4 linked regions of the Drosophila melanogaster genome follow. The gene in region 1 interacts genetically with each later gene. Each region holds a gene or a part of one and is shown on either strand. Other genes may lie near its edges.

Evidence for each region.
Region 2: of mxc (region 1) and pho, changing one enhances a phenotype caused by changing the other (phenotypic enhancement), as found in Drosophila melanogaster (one study listed by BioGRID).
Region 3: of mxc (region 1) and sxc, changing one enhances a phenotype caused by changing the other (phenotypic enhancement), as found in Drosophila melanogaster (one study listed by BioGRID).
Region 4: of mxc (region 1) and Psc, changing one enhances a phenotype caused by changing the other (phenotypic enhancement), as found in Drosophila melanogaster (2 studies listed by BioGRID).

What each region holds. Positions count from the first base shown.
Region 1 is NC_004354.4:9,237,451-9,245,233, forward strand, and holds the start of mxc (multi sex combs), read right to left. Parts: upstream 6,018-7,783; 5' UTR 5,755-6,017; coding exon 5,709-5,754; intron 5,651-5,708; coding exon 5,483-5,650; intron 5,420-5,482; coding exon 5,245-5,419; intron 5,176-5,244; coding exon 4,875-5,175; intron 4,771-4,874; coding exon 804-4,770; intron 742-803; coding exon 39-741; intron 1-38. Other genes in the region: Larp7 (La related protein 7), read left to right, coding at 6,426-6,696, 6,757-7,783.
Region 2 is NC_004353.4:1,178,594-1,183,385, forward strand, and holds the start of pho (pleiohomeotic), read right to left. Parts: upstream 3,036-4,792; 5' UTR 2,997-3,035; exon of another isoform or gene 2,775-2,996; intron 2,689-2,774; 5' UTR 2,546-2,688; coding exon 2,455-2,545; intron 1-2,454. UniProt on the Drosophila melanogaster protein: Polycomb group (PcG) protein that binds to the 5'-CNGCCATNNNNG-3' sequence found in the regulatory regions of many genes.
Region 3 is NT_033778.4:5,305,411-5,310,302, reverse strand, and holds the start of sxc (super sex combs), read right to left. Parts: upstream 3,016-4,892; 5' UTR 2,805-3,015; coding exon 2,651-2,804; intron 1-2,650.
Region 4 is NT_033778.4:12,977,948-12,982,606, reverse strand, and holds the start of Psc (posterior sex combs), read left to right. Parts: upstream 1-1,612; 5' UTR 1,613-2,559; intron 2,560-4,385; 5' UTR 4,386-4,443; coding exon 4,444-4,659. UniProt on the Drosophila melanogaster protein: Polycomb group (PcG) protein. PcG proteins act by forming multiprotein complexes, which are required to maintain the transcriptionally repressive state of homeotic genes throughout development.

The sequences.
Region 1 (7,783 bases):
AGCATACAAAAAATAAAATGCATATGTTCACCACTTACATGGTGGCCACCTCCAGATCTTCCTCATCTTGCGGCCCACTCCTGGATGGGGGCTTCTCCACCAGCGGCGTAGACGTGGCCGAAGGCTGTTCGCCAGCAGCAGCAACTTCCGCTCCCGTTCCACTTCCTCCACTTACACTTGCACTTCCCCCTGTTGCCGCTGTCCCGCCACTATTGCCGGTCAGGCGGCGTATCCGCTTCTTGGGTATATTGCGAATGGCGCTGGCCACCGGTTGGCCCAGACAGAGCACCTGGGCACTGGCTATGCGCAGCGTATGCAGCTGTTCGTCATCGGTCATCAAGCGCATCTGATAGCTTTTGAAATAGCTCGATGGCTGACGTATCATCGGATTGCTGGACTTTGGTCCGTTGTCCGCATATGTGAAATTATAGGTAAAACGCTCCTGGCTGCTGCTCAGGCACATGTCCTGCTCGAAGTCGCTGTCATCGGGCTCCGAATCGCATTTCGATGGCGGTGGATCCTGTTTAGGTTCTTGTATTGTTTGCTGAATTTGCGGCTTTTGCTTTGGAGATTTTTGGGTGGATTCCGCCTCCGCTACAATGGGCAGTGCCGGAGCATCGGTTGTGGAGGAGGGTACCCTTGCCTCGACACGTTTCTTGGCCGGTTTCTTGGTATTTGCCTTGATTTGGGTCTTCGTCTTTGCTCCTTCAGTGGATTTGGAGAGATCTTCCGGAGCAGGAGCTAGTTTTGCAAAGACAATATATTAGTTTCAATACCCATTCGATTGGATCTTAACTACTTACTTTTATTTTCGACTAGGCGCGAGGATCGTCGCATACAGAGATTGGCTGGCTCCCCGTTCTGTACCTTTTTCGGGCGTCCACGTTTTCCAGGGGCAGGCTGTGCCGCAATTTCAACCGCTGCTCGATTTACCTTTGGTTTGATTACAATCGGTAATGATTCCTGTTTTTTCGCAGATAGATTGAGGGCCATGAGCAGAGCGGGATCCAATTTGCCGGCTGGCGGATCTGCTGGCGCATCTGTGGCGGCACCGACTGGCGGACCAGTAGCCTCTGTGGACTTAACATTCGGATTTGGTTCTATTTGCTTTTTAGCTGCTTTTGTTTTCAGTGGTTCGATGTGCTTTCGATTTTTTGGCGATTTTTGACTGCTTGGATTGGCCAGTTTGGCATTTTCACGCATTGCAGTGAGCTTCTTGTTGGCAGTCTTTCTCCCTTGACCTTTGATCGGTTGGGGTTGCTCCTTAAACTTGGCCACTACACGTTGGCGTTTTTCATTCAGCTGCTGGCGTTGGTGTTCCTGACGGCTTGTAGAGGCCGTTGGAAGAGCGACGGATGAAGGATCGTCCGCCTCTGGCGGAGGCGGTGGAGGCGGCGGAGGAGCAGCTGGCGGTGTTAGAGGAAGCGGCGGAGGCGGAACAGGAGCAGCCACCGGTTTAGGAGGTGTAGGTTTTGTTTGCTGTTCTCCACTGGTATCCGTCTCCTGGGCCTGCTCTTTGCTTGGTGTCAGCCAATTCCGGATAGGATAGCGGACCTCCCCGTCCTGGCTAACTAACTGACCTGGCTGACTGTCGATAGCAAGCATGGGCAGAACTGCATCCTCAGAACCGGCTGCCTTCAGCCACTCTTCGTCTTCCGTGCTGCTAATGTTCGATAAGTTATCTATGTTTAGTAGCATCTCCTTTTTCTTGCTGCACTTTTCGTCGGCATTCTCGCCATTTGCCTCTTCCCCTCTGCTTTCCCCCTTTCCGCTGTGAGAACTTGACGAGGATGAGGAACTCGATGATGAACTACTGGAGGAGCTTGAGCTCGAACTGGATGAGGACGATGAACTGGTTGCCGAGGAGCTAGAATTACTAGATCCTTCAATAATTGCCTCGGGCAGGCCAGGCAAAAGTTTATAGTGCGGAAGCTGCTGCTGATCGGAGGGAAATGAGCCAGCTGTAGCGGACTCCGCACTGTCCACCGCCTCACTGCCAAAGGATCGAACGCGTCGAAGGACGGTGGGCTCCAAGGACAGGACAACGGGTTGCTTCACAGCATCTGGTGTCTTTTCTAAAACCGTTTCATTCTTTTCACCATCGTTTTCAGTTTCCTTCAGATGTTCATCCATTGGCTTCTCTGGTCTTTTCGGTGTTTTCTTATTGTCCTCAGCATGTTTGTCCTCCGGATGAAGGCTTTTCTTTGAACACTCCATTTCTATTAGCTCTTGATTCTTCTGTTGCGAAAGCTCATCCTCTGCCTCAACCTTTTTCTTCTTGGGCGTTGACCGAACCTTGGGTTGTTTCTTATCCTGCGGATCACCCCACTGTTGTATTGCGCACTGCGCATTCGCATCGGTGTGTTCCGCTTCATCCGGACGATAATAGGAACTGCCTGAAGAGTACTCAGTCTTGGCAGCACTGCCTATCGGAGTACCGGGCATCTGTCCAAAAGGTGTCAAGCGAAATCCAGGTGTGATGGCACTCAACTGGGGCGTATCCATAATACTTTTGGTATCCGAACCAAAGAGAAAGCTGCTACTGGGCAACTTGCCATATGGCGTGTCCAGAGGTGGAATGGCCATTCCTGGCGTGGGTGGGATGATAGCGGCTACACCAACACCAGCTTCCTTTGATGTGGTGTCATCTTCTACGGCTCCGCTTGCTCCTGCTCCAATGGGAGATGCTTTAAACGGAGTGTCCAGAAGCATGGCCATGTTGGGTCGCGACAGTTCTGCCGCTAAGGCCTTCGCTTGCTCCTGATCCTTTGCATATATGCATCCTTGTTCACTTTTCTTCTTCTGATCCTTTTCCTCGATCTCCGCTTGGGTTTCGTCTATGGTTTCTTCTATGGTTTCGTCTATGATTTCTTCTTTTGCCTCAAACACCTTCTTTTTCTTCAGGAGCTTTGGTTTCTGAGGAGTGATAATCTTGATGTTGATCTTCTCAGTGGAATCCCCAACACTGCGCTGCGGTTTCTTTGCCAGATTCATGGGCTCCGCCTTCGCTTTGACCATTGGAGCCTTTCGTGCTCTCGACGAAGCTGAAGTGGGTGTATCTTTCTTCTTTGGACGCCTCGAGCGGCCGGAGGCCTTTACCTCCTCGCGCTTGGAGTTAATCTCACGCAGCCGATTTTCAAGGTCAGAATTGGAGCCATGCAACTGGCGCTGCCAGGCGGCCATATCGTTATCTACAACTGCGTCTCCTCTGGCGGCGGAGCCTACATCTGGCTTTCCTTCAATCTTCTGCTGCTCCTGGAGATTCTCTTTGCTGGCCTCGGCGCTGTCATCGTGAGCGGTCGACGATGCGCTGCAGGCAGAGTTATTTTTGGGCATAATTTTCTTTTGATCCTTATCCGTCTTGGTTTCCGATTCCGCCTGGGAGATGATTCGCTTGCAGGCCTTGACCGCTGCTTGTCGCTTCTGTTTTCTTTTGGGCGTGGCCACCAACGGAGGAACCGGAGCTGCTGACGGAGCGGCAGCTGGAGGATGGGCCCTGATCACCGTCTGATTGCTGCACTCCTCCATGGCGAAGAGTGGTGGCACTCCTCCAAGGCCCTCGTTTGAGCTCAGGTCGCAGGCGGCCTGGATGATCTCCACATGGTTGATAATTGGCTTCTCTTGGGCTTTGGCCAGCAAACCAGGTCGCCTAGTGGACAGCGGCGTATTGGAATGCAGGACGCCACCAGGAGGAACCTTAGGGGAAAAAGTTAATGTTCGTACATGCGAAGTTCTCTTTCGGGGAGTGGATAAGCTACGAAAGGCCTTTACGTTAATTATTCCCGACGTCGAGGGTGTCACTCTCTCCATGACTTGTCTAGATGAATCCAGGGATGCGGGTGGAAACTTTCGCTGCTCCTCCTCTAGTTGATCTATCGGTTGCTCTTTTGCCGCCGTTCCCTGGCCCGCCTTGTTGTCCACTTTGGCTGCATCTTTTATCAACTGGACTGGAGGCTCCACGCTTGGGGGAGGTGGTTGTTTCTGGGCGCTGCTAATGATAATGGAATTGGGGGGCAGCTGATTGGCAGACAGAGTAATCGGCTCCGGCAGCGATATCTCAATGTGCGAGTCATCAATGTTGGCAAAGGCATCCGGCCCAAGTTGCTGGGCTACCCACTCGTTGTTCACCAGGAATGGAAGATGCGACAGCAGTCCACCGTTCGAGAGGTACATGGGAAACGTCAGCTGCCCGGTGGTGGCGTCCACACAAACCTGACCAGCAGCTGTCGCCTCCACCTCGCTGAGCATTGACGCTGGATCGGCAAAATTTATATTGAGGCCTTCGCTTGTAAAGCTGATATTGGACGTATCCAAACCAGCAACCATTTTTTGGACACTCTCGTTGGAGTTCAGTACGATAAGCTTGGAGATGGAGAAATTGGGATCTGCATTGGTTCCTGCGGTGGCTGCAACGGCGGTGCGAATAATAAGCGGTGTTTGCGGCGGCACGGGATCCACGGCCTGTTCTGTCGGCAGCACATCTCCATCAGCAGCGGGAACAATAGCAGCCCCAGCAGCATCAGAGGCAGGCGACACACCAGGGTCCTCCTCATTTGCCAATGGTTCATCCCCGATCACCACCTCCTGTATGATGCGATCGAACGAGGGATCCTTCTCGGTGGCCTCCAGTATGTTCTTCACTAGACCATCCAACATGGCGTCACAGCTTACCGACGGATTGTTAACAGTCACCGTCTGCAGCGCTACGTTAATATTCTTTACCAGCGTCTCCTGGAAGTCCTGATTCTTAATTATCGCGCAGGCCAGTTCCTGAAATCAATGTAAATCGAAAGAGTGTTTTTTGTTTAGAATACATAATAGATGCACTATTGGTTAATTAAGCAGATATGCATTAAGCATGTCTATGGACTTACAGGCATGCTTTGCGGCGTGAGCAGAAGTGGATTGGACTCGGTATGACCTTGGCGCGGCGTGGAATTGTTGCGCGGACCAGGACCATTCGCCGGAAGTAAGTCATCCTCCTCCAAGTCCTCGGTGGCCGTTGTGCTCTCGCCATCCTCTTCGTCCAGTTCCGCCTCGCAGTCATCCTGGCTGCCTAGGAAACTCTGCCTGACCTTGTCGCGGTTAACGCTGCAGTAGAAGTGTGGCGGCAGCAGACGCGGTCGCTTGCTAAACGAAGGCGAAGAAATGCTGTTCACGGGAGAATGGGTGCGCCTGGGGAAAAGGGGTAAGAGAGCAATGAGAATTCCGATGTGCTTGTGTCAAGGAAAAATCTATAATTACAAGCGCCTTCTCTTGCGATGCGACTGTGATATGGTGGGCTCGCCTGGGGTGCTGCTTTCATTGGTACAGCTACTCCTCTCGCCGGCGGCTATCAGTTCGCTGACCCGTTCGGACAGCTTCATCTGCTGCAGCTGCATACGCATATCCAGCGGCAGCTTCTGCACGGCACCGGCCACTGAAAAGAGAGATTTTCGGTCAGCCGCAAAAAAAAAGAAACGCAAGGAGCGTGCTAATTTACCCAAGCTTGTGATCTTGACATGCTCGCAGATTATCTCCTCCAGACCCCCGTGAAGGAAGTTGTGCGTCTGCAGGCCCTGTTTAAGGGCCAGGAACTCGTGGCGCAGGTGAGGCGATGTGCGACACAGAGTGTGTGCGGCCCTTTTTAGATTCTGGTTGACTAGGTAGCCTACAAAATGGAAGAGCATAAATATTGCGAGCTAGAAAAGCGTCCAGGGAAAACCTACCCAGGACCAAGCGAGCCACGTCCGAATGCAGGACAATCGACTCCATGGCTGGACTTTCCGACTCAGCTAAGCGTCACCATCCACTCGCTTTTCGCCTTGCCTTTCTTTTTTTTTTCGCTTGCAAGACTTTAGGTTTATCGAACGCACTTGTAATGCCTTATTATTGACTGTTGCAGGTTTAATCACTCAATAGTTAGTCGGAATTGAATCAGCGCTTTAATTCGAGAGAGAATAAACCATTTTCTCGCCTATTCGCCGACTATTTTCGTTTTGTTGTTGCCGATTCTAGCGGCGCACTGTACAACACACATAGGTTAGCATAGCATCTGTGTTTTTTTTGCCGCCCGCCAAAACAACGCAGTAGGGTTGCCACAGCGCCGAACTATCGATATAGTCCCGTTGTTTGCGCTTGGCTGCCAAGCCTTATTAGGAGCGTGGGAAATAATGGTAATAATTAAAGCAAAGAAATACGTCTCTTTCGCTTAAAACAAATTATAGCAGTTTTTATTGCTTTGATGGTCTTGCTTCAATTCGTTTTTATGTGTACGTTACAGTACTTAGAATCCGATATTCGTTAAACTATCGATATGGGAATGCTGCAAATACCTGGCATCCCAGCAATTCATAACTAGACGGCGTTGCCAAATAGATCAGAACGCAAAAACCAAGTGCAATATTTTATTCGAGTGACTTAGATTACTGGTTAACTGGCACTCAATGGCTGCCAAGAGTATCGAGAAGGAGAAGGGCGAGGGTCAGGAGCCCGCGACATCAGCGGAGAAACCCGATCCAGCCGCACCCACTGAACCAGCTGAGGAAAATTCCAAAGAACCGGCGCCGGAAGACGCATCGCCGGATAAAAAGGATGGTGGACGCAAAAGGAAGAGGCATTTGTTCAATTCGATTCGCGGTCAAATGGAATTCTACTTCGGTGACGCCAACTTGAGCAAGGATCGCTTCCTTCGGCGCTACGTAGAGCAGGATCCATGTGAGTAGCTAAGGTTGGCTCACCAGCCAACATAACACTGATCATGTTATTCTTTTACAGATGTACCATTGGAAATCTTTCTCACTTTCAATAAGATAAAGACGCTCACCCAGGATGTGCAGCAGATAGCCAAGGCACTAAGCAACTCCCAGCTTCTGGAGCTGGATGAGACCGAACTAAAGGTCAAGCGACGTACCAAGCTACCAGATCAGCGCGATGTCAACGACAAAACCTTGTATGTAGAGGCCCTGCCTGCAAATGCCACTCACGATTGGCTGAAGGAGGTATTCAGCCGCTACGGACCGGTGGCCTACGTGTCCCTGCCCCACTATCCGGGCACTAAGAAGATCAAGGAATTTGCCTTTATCGAGTTCGAAAAGAGCGGGTCCTTGGAGAAAGCTGTGAAGGCTTTTGCCCAGATACAGGGCGTTTTGTCCGTAGAAACCGATCCCAGTGATCTGGCCAGTGTGCGCTCCTTTCAGCAGCAGCAGCAGATACAACAGAAAGCGGAGCAGCCGCAGTCAGAGGCTGAACAGGTTGAGTTGCCAAAGCGAAATCTAAAAAGGGAGGCCACCGACAAGGATCGCGAGGAGATACACGAGGTGAAACGGGTTAAGTTGGAGGAGGGCCAGCCTAGCGAGACCTCTACAGCTGGGGAAACAGCGAGTGAAACGGATGCAGAGGGCACAGCCGAAGCCTCCGAGCAGGAGGACAAAACAGAGGCAACCGATGGCGATGAAGCTGCCAAAAAGCGCCGTCGCAAGCGCAAGAAGAAGGCGATCGTGGACAAGCCAAACATTGAGCCCAGTGCCCTGGAGCTCAAGGTGCTACCCAAGACTAGTTGGAGCAGTATGCGCAATAAGTACTTGAATCTACAGCGTCGCATCGTCAGTGAGGCAAAGAGCAAGCTGTGGCGAGAAAATCACCCACAAAATCAGCAGCACCCTCACCACCAGCAGACCAGTCATCCAAACCATCCGAAACCTTCACAGCTGCCCGAGGCAGTTAAAGAGGAGGAAACCGGAGGCGAGGTCCCTAGCGATGGCGGTGAAGGTGCCGTAGAAGCAGCGCCTGTGCCAGCCAAGCG
Region 2 (4,792 bases), on another chromosome or scaffold:
TGGGTGGTTATGGTGTTGGTAACATTGGTGTTACTACTAGTTGTCAACTTCGCAAGCTCGAGAGATAACAATTGAGGGGCTTACAAAGCGTCGGCTTGGTTGAGCTTATCTATGATAAGTAACGTAATTGTCTGTCACCACTGCTGTGCATTGGATAGAAATAGAAATTGTGCGCGTGCACAGTACGATTGGAAGAGTTGTTGATGTGTTACAACAAACAGACTAGACTATCGCGATCGTCCGTATGCAACGAAGGCTAGGCAGAGACTGGGCATCATTGAATGGGTCCAAAAAAAATTCTTAATGTTTGCCTTGTGGGTCCTATTCCTCATTCCAGTAGACTAATTCTAATTCAGTTACCCTCCCTAGCTAACCGTAGAACGATGCTTGGAACAGTCTTTATTAGTAAGTTTACGAGTAGTACGATACGAGTAGTCCCGACCTGGTTTTTCGGCGAAACTTCTCTGTTCCAAGTATATTCACTAGAAACTACATACCCTTAATCTTAAATCATTCTGTATGTTCATGTTATGTTCTGACTATAATAGACGTAATCCTATTATCTGTAATCTTTACTCTCTGCCGCTCTTACAGCAATCAATTATAACTTTTTTAACACATAATTAGATCTTACTAATATTACACTTATACTTTGTTGTTTTATTTATTTCCTCGTTTCTGGGCTCTTTAAAATTTTATTTATTGCATTGTCCTTTTAAATATGCAAATCAACTTAATCAAATTCACTTTTTAATTTTTATTTCGTTAAACAACATCAGACAACTCTATTCTAATAAACACCATAAAAAAGTAAATGTCCATTCTACAAAAGTAAAATAAAAGTCGCTCACGAAAGAGAGGGAGGGATCAGGGAAAATATTTCAATGAATTCAGCTGTATATTGATCCTCTAAAGAAATAATTCTTTCAAATTTGGAAACTAGTTTACCTAGAAACGGACAAAAAGTGTATATAATGTATATACTTTATAACGTAATTAATACTTTATAAATATTGAACAAGTACAGGCAGACAATTTCGGGTAAAGGCGATTATATCAGTGTAAGCAAGCATGCACAGCATGTTGATATTTAAATCTATGAACAAAGGAGAGAAAATGTTCGAGTTCTCCGACTATCAGATACCCATTACGCAACTAGTGGAGAAAAATAATCAAATAGCAGTCTTGAGCGGATTTGTCTCTGAAATCTGCATGCTTAATCTCAACTTTCTAGCTTATTTAGTTCCTGAGATCTCGACATTCATACTGCCAGACATATCCAGTTCGACTTGGGTAGTTCACTGGATCAAAAATATATATACTTTATAGGGTCGGGAACGCTTCCTTCGGTTGCCATTGTTTTTCGAAACCCCTTTTACTTTGCGAGTTTAAGAATACTTATATAGCGTGATAAATTTTCAACCAAATTAGCTACTATATTCTCTATACAAAATTATTTGCGCAGCTAATTAAAAATACTTTAAATTAAAATTCTATGTCTTCAAAAGCACATTAGGATATCCGCAAATCCGTACATATCCATATAATATTCTTTAAATCTTTAAGCCAAAAGCGAAAAGGTAACGGGTCTTGTGCGCAACACCATCATGGAACTGGGAGATCTACGGCACACTAAACTAACGCTCACAAGGGTATAAGGACTCTGCAGTTTAGCAATTAAAGAACGATGTGAGTCAGATGGGAATCAGAATAACAGCTTTGATTGTGGACAGTCATGCGGCATATTAACATTTCAAGCGAACACTAGCAAGAGCGTGCCTGTGAGCAACACCATTATTGAACTTGAACGTCTACAGCACACCCAAACTAACGCTTACATGGGTACCCGGCGTCTCCGCCATTACAGGTAACTCACGAGAGATGAGGATTAGCCTCACACCCGTCAACACTGTGTTTTGAGTGATAGTCTTCCGAGTCTTGCCTCCTTTGGAAAAACCTTAACCTAACATATTACTGAACAATCTGATGATACTTCATTTCTTCGATGCCAAGGCGCTTAAAAGCTGACATTAACGATCTGGGCTTGGCTTAAAAATGTTAGTATGGCGGCTTAAACAATATTAAAATTTTAGTTTTGACAGTTTTTGAAGGTTTGTGGGCGTTGGAGTAGAAGTGGTAATTTTCTCTAGAATGTGCATGCTTTATCTTAACTTTCACATCTTTTATTTAGTTCCCGAGATCTCAACGTTTATACGGGCAGATCGACTTGGCGCTAGTGATCATGAGTAAGAATACTGTGGTCGATTCCTTCTACATACTTTTCAACGAATCTAGTATACCCTTTTACTCTAGGACTAACGGGTATAACAAGTAAATATGTTTATATTTTATGCTTCATTAAACAGTATTTTGTTGTTACGCTTTATAAAAAAGTGCTTTGTTGCTATAATTCGATTTTCAAAACATAGACATGCCTGTAAAATCCGAACTTACCTTCATTCATTTTCTGATTGACTTTTGTGTTGCCTATATCTTCATCGTACTGTTCACTTTGAAGAATAATTCCAAAACGTTCGTATGCCATATTTACAATACTATAATCCACATACGCATGAGTTTAAAGTTAGTATTAAAGCATTTCAAATGCCAGGATAATTGTAGGCACATGTGTTAGGTAAGATTTGTATGTTTCCTGAGCGTTGCATTCCCTGAGGCTATTTGATGTATCTGAAAGAACAGCATTTTTACTGCCATTATTCCATATGTAGGCAATATAAGACATGAATATAATATCACGGATGATTGATACGTACACACACAGAATTAATAATTGTCATATTTAAGTAGGGAACATAATATACATTAAATATGACAAACGGTTCTCTAAGAAAATGTAGTGAATATGTTAAAAAAATTCTGATTGAAATAATACGAAAGATTAATTAAACGCCACATAAATTTAATGATAGTCGAATTGTTTCACTAAAAGCCGAGGAAAACAAAAGAATTCAAGTAATTTTTATAAAACGCGATACCAAATGACTCAAAATATTGAAAAGGTTATTCTGCTTGTTTGGCATGGGTATTCGATGCCTAAATATTTGGGTTTTTTGCAACATACTAAACTTTAGTATTTTTTTACAACGCAAAATATATCTTGATTCCACGTCGACTAGCTTCTAAATATAGAACAAGCTGGCTGTAATCTCTGTAATTATATCGGTATAGCTTGAAATATACATGCAAAACATAAAATTAAATAATACTACAAATTTGTAAACCGATATGAATTAAATTTTTCATATGCTTAAAGAAAATCCTATCAAAGAATGTGTATATTTTTCTATTAGTTTTAGTGATAAATAAAGTTCATATGATACGGTCCACAAATACATTTCGAAAATGTGGAAATGGAATCATCCTCATTTCGGAAAACGAGTGCAATCATGCTATAACCAATTTCCCATCGTTAACAAAGCTTAACATGAGACTGGAACAGATTTAAAAGAGGCAACTGTTAAACGAAAGGGGAAAGTTTCTACTGCGTGGGATCAGGCACCGATGGTTCAACATCTCTACTGATCTTGTGTTCTGCTGTAGATTTGAAAAAGCGCCAATTCTGCCAATCCTTGTGTTTTGTGCTGATGTAAGAGATGCCAAGCATGCACAGCGATAATTTATAGTCAATCATGCTCCTGTAATTTTTATTTTTTATTTCGATTTGGGCAAAATCTTTTGATTTCGTTTTTAGCTGTTTTGGTTTTCGCAAAATTTTTGCTATCGGAATGTTTTGTAAACATTAAACAGCTGTTCAAGCTGTTTTCCAGACCATAGAGCGGACACCTTTTTTTACAGTTTTAAGTCCGACGTTCGCAATTACTTTGTTATTGCACTTTGACATTTAAGTAATAAAAATACATTTAATTAAATACATACAACTCTTTTGGCCATTCCTGAAATTCATTAATGAATTCTTTTATATTTTATAAGTATTTTTACCTGCCTGTTTCGTTTTACCAACAGTATGGCAGCCTTCGCAATAAATATTGGGAACGTACTTCTCCTTTGCTAATCCCCTTGCTAAATCGAAAATATTTGTTGCTGACGGCAAAATGTTGTTTGTCAAATCTGAGGTGGGGTCGGAAATACATTTTTTGTATAATAACGCATTGGCAGAATGATCTTGTGGTGATTTGGAATTAACATCGATAGACCACTGAATAAAATATTTTTTCCTTAGTTAATAAGATCTGATTTGATAGATATATGTATGTATAACAGGCATTTACTTTTAATTTCGCCCAGACAAAAGTAAAATTCTTACGAATTCGATTACCAGAGAATGTCAATATTGACCGTCACCAAAAAAGTGACTGCATTGTGCTAAACCAACGTATGGTCGTTACCAATCATGTTATTCTAATGTCTTTGATTTGACTCTGTTAATAGAGATTGAGAAATATCGATGATGGCGGACATCGATGTTTTTGGCGAAATATGTTGAAAAAACATCGACGTTTTAAATAAAAACAAAAAAGAATTCATCTATTAAATTTATTATTTTCTTTTTTAATATTGCTTCAATAAAGAGGCTGCGTATTGTCGTCCACCTTTTCATCCGCCGGTGGTCCAGTAATTGCTTCTATACAACAAATACAATTACATATATAATTAATGCATTTTCATGGAAAAGTAAACTAATATGCATTACTATATGCATACATGCATACAGTAAAATAATTGTTATATATTTGAGTCTAACTAATTTCAGTTGACTAAGGTCAACGCTAAGAAATAAAAAATTATCATAGAGATGGTTTTCACGTCTTTA
Region 3 (4,892 bases), on another chromosome or scaffold:
ACTTCTGGTGGAAGAGATAGTCGCTTATGTTTTCGCCTCTTTAAATTTATTGATGATATTATGGGATCCGTAGTATCCATTGCTCTGTAAAAGACATCTGCGAAGCTACTAATAGTTTTTGCTTTGGCTGGGTTCAACAAAAGAATTTTAAGTATGGCTGCAAGATCCCGCAGGCAGCACTTCCGTACAGCTTGAACCAAAAGACATTCGTTGTGATTCTGCGCCCTTACGAGTTCATCTGCTTGCTGTCTTCGGCCACTCAAATTTTTTAAATAATATGACGTTTTCGGGAGTCCAGCTAATTTCCTTTCCTTTTTATTTTTCTCCTTTACCTTCAGGACTAGGTGTTCTTCTAACCAATTTGAAAAACTTTCAAAAATTCATTTATTTTTCGATTGCATTTTCTCCAATTTCGCAAAAGATTGACTGAAATCATTCGTTATTAATATTATTCGTTAATCGTTCATTAAAGTCTAGCTTGCTATCAGAAATATGCCCACTGATAAAAGTGCAAATAGAATTTTCCTTTTGACGAACAACCTTTTGCTTGCGCCACACTTCCAGCAGGGCAGCATTGGAAATCGAGATATTGCTCCCTAAAAAATGAAATTTCTCAAGAAACCGCAAAAAACGCACATAGAGACTACCTGATATGAGTTAGAAATTGAACACACTACAACATGGATATAAACACTTACTGAACAAATTTGAACAAATTGTTGTAGCTCTATTCAAAGTTTAAAATTTTTTCAAACAACTACATGTTGACACCACTTGCTAAATGTACAAATTGTTAGAAATAGGCGCACACAATAAACAATATATTAATAACAACACATAATAAAAACCTAAAGATTGATTATCTATTTCAAATTATACTCTCCTTCTTCTTCTTTTTAAATTTTAACACTTTGAAAGTTAAGCTAAATTTTGCGCGCAAAGCAGCCACGTGATATATGCTCGCAACAGCCGACTTTAACAGCTGTTATTATAACGGTGCATTGTAAAATTAACTTTTGCGGGCTGTATCATAACAGTTTAACGTATTTCCAATGTATTAATACTAAAATACTTCAAATTTGCATACTTGTGAAAAACACATTATTGTAAAAAAAACAGGCCAAATGCCCCATAGTGCTCTAGAGCCACATCGAATGGCGTTACGCATCTTGTTATTCTGGTGTCTTTGGCCGTACCCTTTGGTCGAGTTCCGCAACAGATTTTTAAATCAATAAAACATAGCAAGGCAAATAATAAAATGAAAACAAAACTTATTTTTAAACTTCCTTCTTCACACTGAATATTATTTCGTGCAATTATCAGAGGAAGTAATCTGTATAAGCTTCATACTTTAGAGAAGGCAACTAGATACTATGCTCAAGAGATAATTCCTCAGGTACAGCAAGGAAAGATGATTGAGACACACACTGAGAACTGCAGACACATGCATATGTATGCAGATTGAAATACAGGTATAGATCATACACATCCAGATTCAGGACTACCCTAAAATGGGCCGAGTCAATGAGTTTTCAAGATCTCTCACTACGCAGTCAATGATATTCTAGAAATAATACAGTTTAAACAAATTAGACTAGTGTTAAGCACTTCAATTGGTGCAGATTAACCAACGGATATGCAGGGTAACGAACCCTTGAAATTTCAAAGGACACATCCGAAGTTGTCTGCTGTAGTTTGTTCGTACAGTTTAGAGGTTTCAAACCAATAAGGTATTTCAGCACCGGATTCTTAAATTTGTTATATAAAAAAAAAGCAATTTTCTAATCGTTTTAGAAAACAAAAAGGTGTTTTTTATGCCGCAGCTTATTTTGTGCAGTATGTTAATATTCAATAAATGGCCATTTTAAACCTAACAATTTTTTAATTTTAATATCCGAGATTGATCCAACTTCGCGGAGAAGCGGAAGCTTCTCCCTAAAAGAAAATACTGTATTGAATGAAGGCCGAAAAGCACCGAAGAACTTTTCAATGAATACCAAATAATATATGTACATATATGTAATATATGTTGTCAAAAATTTAAAAAAGGAAAAACGTGCAAGCTACAGCAGAACGAAAAAAAATTTAAGTGCAAAGTAAGCTTTAAGCCAGAAAAAAAAAAAATTACAATAAAAAATTTAATTTTAGATGGAGTGAGAGATAACATTATAGACGAGTTTCTCGACTACCAGATACCCCTTACAAGATACGGCTTTAATGAGGGATGCACATTTAGAATACGGAAATCGTCTGTTTTTTAACCATGTCAATAATTCTTTCAAAAATATTGCGTTTACATTTTTCTGGTATCTTTCATCGAAGCAATGCCAACATAAAAATTAATTTAACTACACGAAATAAGCTCAGACACTGAACACTGATTTTTATGTTGTGTGAATTTTTAGATGCGTACACCATATGCATCTCTTAATATGTTGTTAATATGAGACACATTAGACACATATCTATCTCGGGCCAGGCATAACCAATTGTTTGATTTATTGATTTTTCTTAATTTAATTGTGGTTGTCTTCGCTGTCAAACTTATTCATTTGCATTAATGTATAAAGTATTTAACTAGATGTATTCTTTAAAAAAATCAATTACAAACGTATGTACATACATATATAAATGTATGGTTATTTCTTACCGACTGATGAAAGAGATTGAATGTCATTTTGTTTTACGACTAGGTTACTGCCTGTTGAATTCGGATTTTGATCTAATAATATATGGGCCGCGGACGGCAGTTGATGGCTCTGTCCTTGAGACTGCATATTTATTCGTGTTTGTTCAACATGCATTAAAATCCAACGTTGATAACATGTGTCTAAAATCAATAAGCCACCCTTAAGTAAAGACACTGTGATGTTGTTTACATGATTAAACCTTTAAGAAAGAGAATATCAGTAAAATATCAATATGAATTGCATTAAGTTATAAAAGCAACCTGATTTAATTATTTTCAAACATCCACTCAGCTGTTAATACGATTTACAAGAGAAAATCAAATATTTACATACTCAAATATTGAACACTGTGAACAGCAACTTAATAGCTTATACCCTATTCTTACGGCGGCAAAAACCATATTAACATAATATCAATGTTATACCAATGATATACCACATATAATTTCAAATGAAGAGAGAATGGTATTGTCGAGTCAATCAGATAACCGTTAGTCAGCTCGTGAAAATGGGAACACGAAATTCATTCATCATTTTTCTGGGATATCGTTAAATACTGGGATATAAAATAAGAACAAAATTGTTTCAAATTGATCAAAAGTTCGGTCTTGACCGGTTTGGAAGGTGTAAGAAGGGCCGTGGCCGCGAATTAATAGAAATTGTATACAAAAATCAAAAAATTTCAAAACATTTTGAAATTGTTAGCGTTAGAGTGGTCATGGCAAAATGTTTTCTGGCAAATTCATAGAAATTTAAAAGAAAATAAAAATATGAAAGAATAATAAAACATTTTACATAAGTGTAGACGTGGCAGTTTTGTCCGGTATGTGTGCGTTGGATTGCACATGGCAACATGGGTTAACAAACTTGCGCGGCGCCTATGTCTCTAGAATCACATATCACATACAGTTTGTCAAGAAACTGTTTACACACTGTAAAATAAGTTGAATTTTTGACTTTAAAGCTAAAAATAAAGGGTTTTTTGCTTAATTAAACGCAATTTTTTTTATAAAATATAATCAAACAATATTTATTTTACTTATAAATCAAAAAACAAATTAAAAATATTAAATATACAAGAAAATAAACAACAAATTCCAAGTTTACACGCTTTTAAGACTGTCAAGAAACTCTCTTTATTACAGTTGCGGTAACAATAATAGCATCATAAGCACATTTCGTGTTTGTCCCAGCTTTTCTCTATTTTCTGACACTTTCTCATTATTTTACTCACTAAACTTAAATACTACAATGATTTTCAATCGAAATAAAAAAATTAGTAACAGATCTCATGGATATTTTAAAAATAATTGGTAAAACAAAAAAAAAACCTTCAAATTTAGGCGGTAACAAACATAGCACTGTTTCTCGTAGTTTGCTTGGGATGCGATCGGGTGTGGTACCGTTTTGGTTTTAAGACTCCTCTCAGCCGCTAGGATCTCGGGCTCCGTGACAGGCCGCAATTCGTCTCCGCTTGGCCCGATCTGGGAATTGGGAATGGCAGACCGAACAGGAACAGAACGTTAAAGATGTTTTCCAGAGCAGATGGATCGCTTTCTGCTGCGACGCAGACTTTCAGAAAGCATTCACGATTGCTGGCTCTAATCGTTTTCTTCGGTGAATTCTTTGTGACCTTGTATTCCGTATGGCATGCTTCCAGACGCGTGGTGCCACGAGCTCTTTGTACGAGTCTCGTTGCGCGTAGGCTGATGATGCGCTGCAAGGCAATATCCTCGCTCCACCAGAAAACCAGGGTGTGGTGCCTTCGGTTCGTTTTCCTCATTCGCATGCTTTGGCCGCAGGCCTCCTCCACCCTCGCTACTATTTTATCCGCTGCTGCGATCACAAGTTCGCCTCGTTGACCGTCAGGTAATGGAGAATGCCGGCGGACTCTTCTAGACTCATGGTGTTCTGTCGGTAGGCCTTAGGTTACTGCGTGTTAGCCCTGCTCTCGATTGCCTTTGTGCCTATTTCGACCTGGATCGCCTCGTGGTCACTGACTGTGACCACCTCCTTGATACCCCAACAGGAGAAGCGAGCGAATGGACTGCTTATGAACGTGAGGTCGATAATTAATCCTGCAACGGCACTGTTGAACGTCCAGCCTAGCGAATGTTTCGAGATTTAATTTGCCCTTGGGAGTTGTGTGTGGCGACCACACTAGAGCGGCCCACACGTTAAAGTCCCATCCGACCACGACGT
Region 4 (4,659 bases), on another chromosome or scaffold:
CCTTTGGAGGTCCCTGTAATGCTGGAATTTTTCTTCTACGGTGAAAACTGTGTGCGAAAGTGTTTACTGGAGTGATTACAAAAAAAAAACAAATCCCTGCCTAAAACACCACTTAAATTAAAATTCATTGGGGTTTTTTGACCATCACTATTGTGAAAGATATGATAACAGAATGCAATTCTATTATGATTCCGTAAAAGTTCACGCAAAGACAATTCTTGAGTGCATATTTTGTCTAGACGATTCATACAAAAGGCTAAAAATAGACCAAAAAGCACATTTTCAATAAAATGCAAGCTTTCGACATAAGGTCCGATCGGTAAACAATTTTATAGTAACATGAACTTAAAAAAAAGTTGGAAACAAACTAAGACAAAACAAAAATATTTGTTGATTGAAAAATATAATAACATTTAAATGTTATGTATTCAATGATAATTTTAGTTGTTTGGCTTGAAGGGTACTTTTACAATTGTGTACTTATCAAACTTTTAAATATAAAATTTTAATATTTTTACAGTTTTAATATACTCTAAGATTACTACTGTATTTCTTCTATGAGAATAAAAATCAATCTTTATTATTGTTTGGGATGAAACTTTAAAAACATTTTGTAATTTATTAAGGCTAGTTTAAGAAATGGTTGAAATATAAGAATAAGAAATATAATAAGAAATATATTAATTTAAAACCTCCTGACATCTCCGATTTTACTGTGGGCAAACCAATCAATAAAAGTATTATAATAGAATGGAAAATGAATAAGAAATTAAAAAATTTTAAAAAGAAGTTTTCCCTGCAATAAAACTGAAAGAAAAAATCTTTAGACTTTTTGATCTGCGAACTTCGAAGACTTCAGAATAGTATTGGGTGAGTACGCTACTATTTAGAGGATAGGATCATTATAAATAAAAATATGCAAAATAAACTCTTAACTCCCACGGCAATGATAATAATGGTGTTAATTTGCATGGAAAGTATCGTCATGGTACGGTTCCTTCGTTCGCAATTTATCCGTTAGATCTGCATTGTTACGTTACGTAGAGCAGTCTAACGGTTAATTCGCCAAGACGGAAACGAAGTTGCTGCTTTTATTGTTGTTGGCTGCCACTGATTGGAGAGCTCTTTCGCGCTCACATTGTGGTTGTTGCTGTTGCTGCCACTTCTGTGGGGGAAAAAAGGAAAAGGCAAGGGAAAAGAAGCAAAAAGCATTTCCAATTTGGAGGCATTAAATAGCGTGGGAGCGAGAGGGGTGCAGATATAGACGTACGCCTACGTGCAAATATGCGATTTCTGCTGACGGAAATTGCAAGTTGCGATTACATAGGCACTCATTCTACCTTGATTGCACATGGTCTTATGTATTCCGAAGTGTTTGCAGATGGATAAGAGCCCGTAAGAGTTGTAAAACCTCTGCCATTTATGTGCAGCCCTTTGTTCTCTATCCCCCTCCCTCTTCAATTTTCCGCTTGTACATACAGAAACGAACAAAGAAACGGCTGGCAAAGCAAAAGAAAAGAGCCAAACGCCGACGTCAATGTCGGCGTCGACGCAGGCAGCGGCAGCGACCGACGATGTGGCGACCGAAAAACAGAGTCAGCGAAGAGCGCCTGTTTTAGTGCAACACCAACATTCAACGAGAGCGGTTCGTCGACGCTGTGCGGAAAGATTACAGAGCGAACGAGAGAGACCGAGCCAGAGCGACGACGCCCCGCAACGAGAACAACAAAAGAGCCGAGTGCGCGTGCAAGAGAGATAGCTGACTTGTTGCCCAGTGAGAGGCCGGCGAGAGCGAGACGGACGATCAGTGTGCGAGCGACGAAAAAGAAAACAAAGATACTCGCCCAGAGCAGTTGGCTACCTGTCTTTGGCCTGGTATATAAGTGTGTGTATGCGAGAGAGAGTAAATAGCGGGCAACGCAGCAGTACATAAACGAAAAGCAGCGTGGTCGTTAGTCGAACAAAAACTCTCAAAGCGAACGGACGTGTGCGGTCGGTTGTTTCGATACTCCTGCTTTATCGCTATCCAAACAGAGTGAAGCGACCACTATAAATAACGAAACAAGAAACATGTGTTTATATTACAACCAGAGCTCAAAGCTTCAGTTGCATAATAATAATAATAATAAAAAAGCAATCTGAAGCCAATTTCCTTTGTGTGACAAATGCCGTAGCAGCAACAACAGAAGCACAACACAACTACGTCTGCTGGCTTATGTACGTCGCGCGCGCTTGTGTGTGTGTGGGGCAGAAAACATAGAGCAAAGCATAATACACAATAAAGGTGCCCGCGAAAGCAGAGCAGCCGAAAGTGCCAGCGCGTGTTGGTGTGGTTTGAATGTGCAGGCGAAGTGAAGAAGTAGAAAGAAAATAAAATAAAATAAAAGTGAAGTGGAGCATAGTGAAGAAAGAGAAGCAGAAACGCTGACTCAAAACTCAAGTGTGGATTATTTACTTGGATTATTCCTCTTGCCATTGGATTATTTATGTATACAAGGCGACCACCGCGATGCCAATTAACTGGCTGGATTATTAGTGGATTAAAGATTGGATACAAAGGTACATGATTGGCGTTAATCAACACTGCTCTCGACCGGCAGCTGTTGCGCTCTCCCCCCACCAACCACAGCCCCTCTTCTGTTTTCTCTTGATGACCCCCTCTCTTTCTTTCTCCTTTTGTCCCAGCAAGTAAGAATTTCGATTGGACACACGGCAATTGAAAAAGGGGAGCATGAGAATATGAGCGTGTGTGACTGATTTTTTTTTACTGCTCTTTCATTTAGCAACGTTTTTTGTTTTATGTTTATGTACTTGTTTCTTTGAATGAAAGCAATATGCGAGTGTGTGTGTGTGCGTGCTTGTGAAAGAGGAGATAAAGCCGCAGTCTCGGTTCTGCATTCTCCGAATTTTCGCTGGGTTGTTGTTTTTTCTGTTCCCTGTCACAGTCTCGCGTTTCCCTTCTTTCAACATCCCTTCGCATCCCTACCCACACACACACACACAAACATACGCGAGCATATAAACACACGCACACCACACACAAATAAGAAATTCCGCTGCTTTTTTTTTTATTATCCTTTTCATGTTGGTACTCACTCACATTTTTTTGCGCGCGCGAGAATCCCTGAGACTTTAAACACGGCAATGGAATGGGTTCGGTAAAATAAGAAGGGAAAGGGCCAACAGAAGGGTTCCTCTTTTCGCACAGCACTTAAAAGTGATGTAAAAAGGATTTAAAGAGGCCTGCTGGCAATTTCTTTTCGCCCTCTCCCATATACAGTCATTCATATTCCATTGCCATATTTTCTGTACACAAATATAATTTTCCATATTCTGTGTGCCCCCGGAGTTGAAAAAGTTTTTCCGAAAAGTTTACCGTATGTACCTTGACTTTTTACTGGCGCGTTGATGCAAAAACAACTTGAAGTTGTTTGAAATACACATTTTGTTCGACGCCCCCACAGATCCGCCCCCCACTTTCGATGTACTTGGCATCTGGTTAAAACTCCACTCGGCACTCTTCACTCTCCCCCCTCCACCCTTCCATCCATAATAAAACAAAGCACCCCTGTGCAACTCTGCTCCCCCCTCTTTTGATCCCAAAAGTGCTGTGCATTTCAATATATTCGACGTAGGCATTCCCATGGCAACTACAACATCCATTATCGAGGGCCCCCACATCCATCGACTGATTGCAAATAATAGCTGCCAGATTGCGACTCCTTTCTGTCTACTGCTCAAGTCCCACAAGCTTTAATTTGGGACATCATGTCTGAGTTAAATGCATTTTGATTTCTTTGAGCTAAAGCGTTCTCTAACAAATTAAAGTCAAAGCATATTCACTAAACTCTAAAAATTGAAATGATCTTTAAGTTTCGATGTTCATGCAACAACATATTTGTTTATTTTACTTAATAAGTTCTTGTCTTTGATCATTTATATTGAGTCAGCGTACTTGGCAACATCATTAAAATATTTTCTGAACAGATCTCTTATGACGATCACTGTAGAAACTTTATCACCATTTCAACTATATTAAAACTGATTCACGAAGAATGATGCAAAAGAGAAGATTGCAGTGAGGAAAAATACGATCCCACCGAGTTCATTAACTCTACCAGTTTTCCCAGAAAGTGTATATTTCCCTTGCCTCCATTATTCTATCGTAAACAGCGAGGGGCGAGTGGAGCTTTAAGCTTCTTCGCGCACCAACGAGGCTATACCGATATAGCTTCGGCTTATTGCTTTCTGCGGCTCAGCGTCTGATTTATTTATAATCTTCAGCACGCTCTCTTCTCGAGTCGATTTACATTTTCCATTTCACATTTTCCATGCGCTCCTTTATTCGCATTTAATTTTAACTTCTGGCATTATCTATTTTGCAGATTGACGCTTGTGCGAAAAACAAAAGCGAATTTTTAGCGGCGAGAGTGTATTATTACTATGATGACGCCAGAATCGAAAGCAATACAGCCGGCAGCAGCAACAACAAAGCAAACAGCAGAAGCAACAGCAACAACAACAATGGCTCACACACAACAAAAGTCGCAGTTGTCAACGTTGGCGAAAACAACAACGACAACGGCAACGAATAAGGCGGCCAAAAGCGTTGTCAGCAATGCAAATAGCAGTGGCAACAATTCGAGCAAAAAGCTGGCT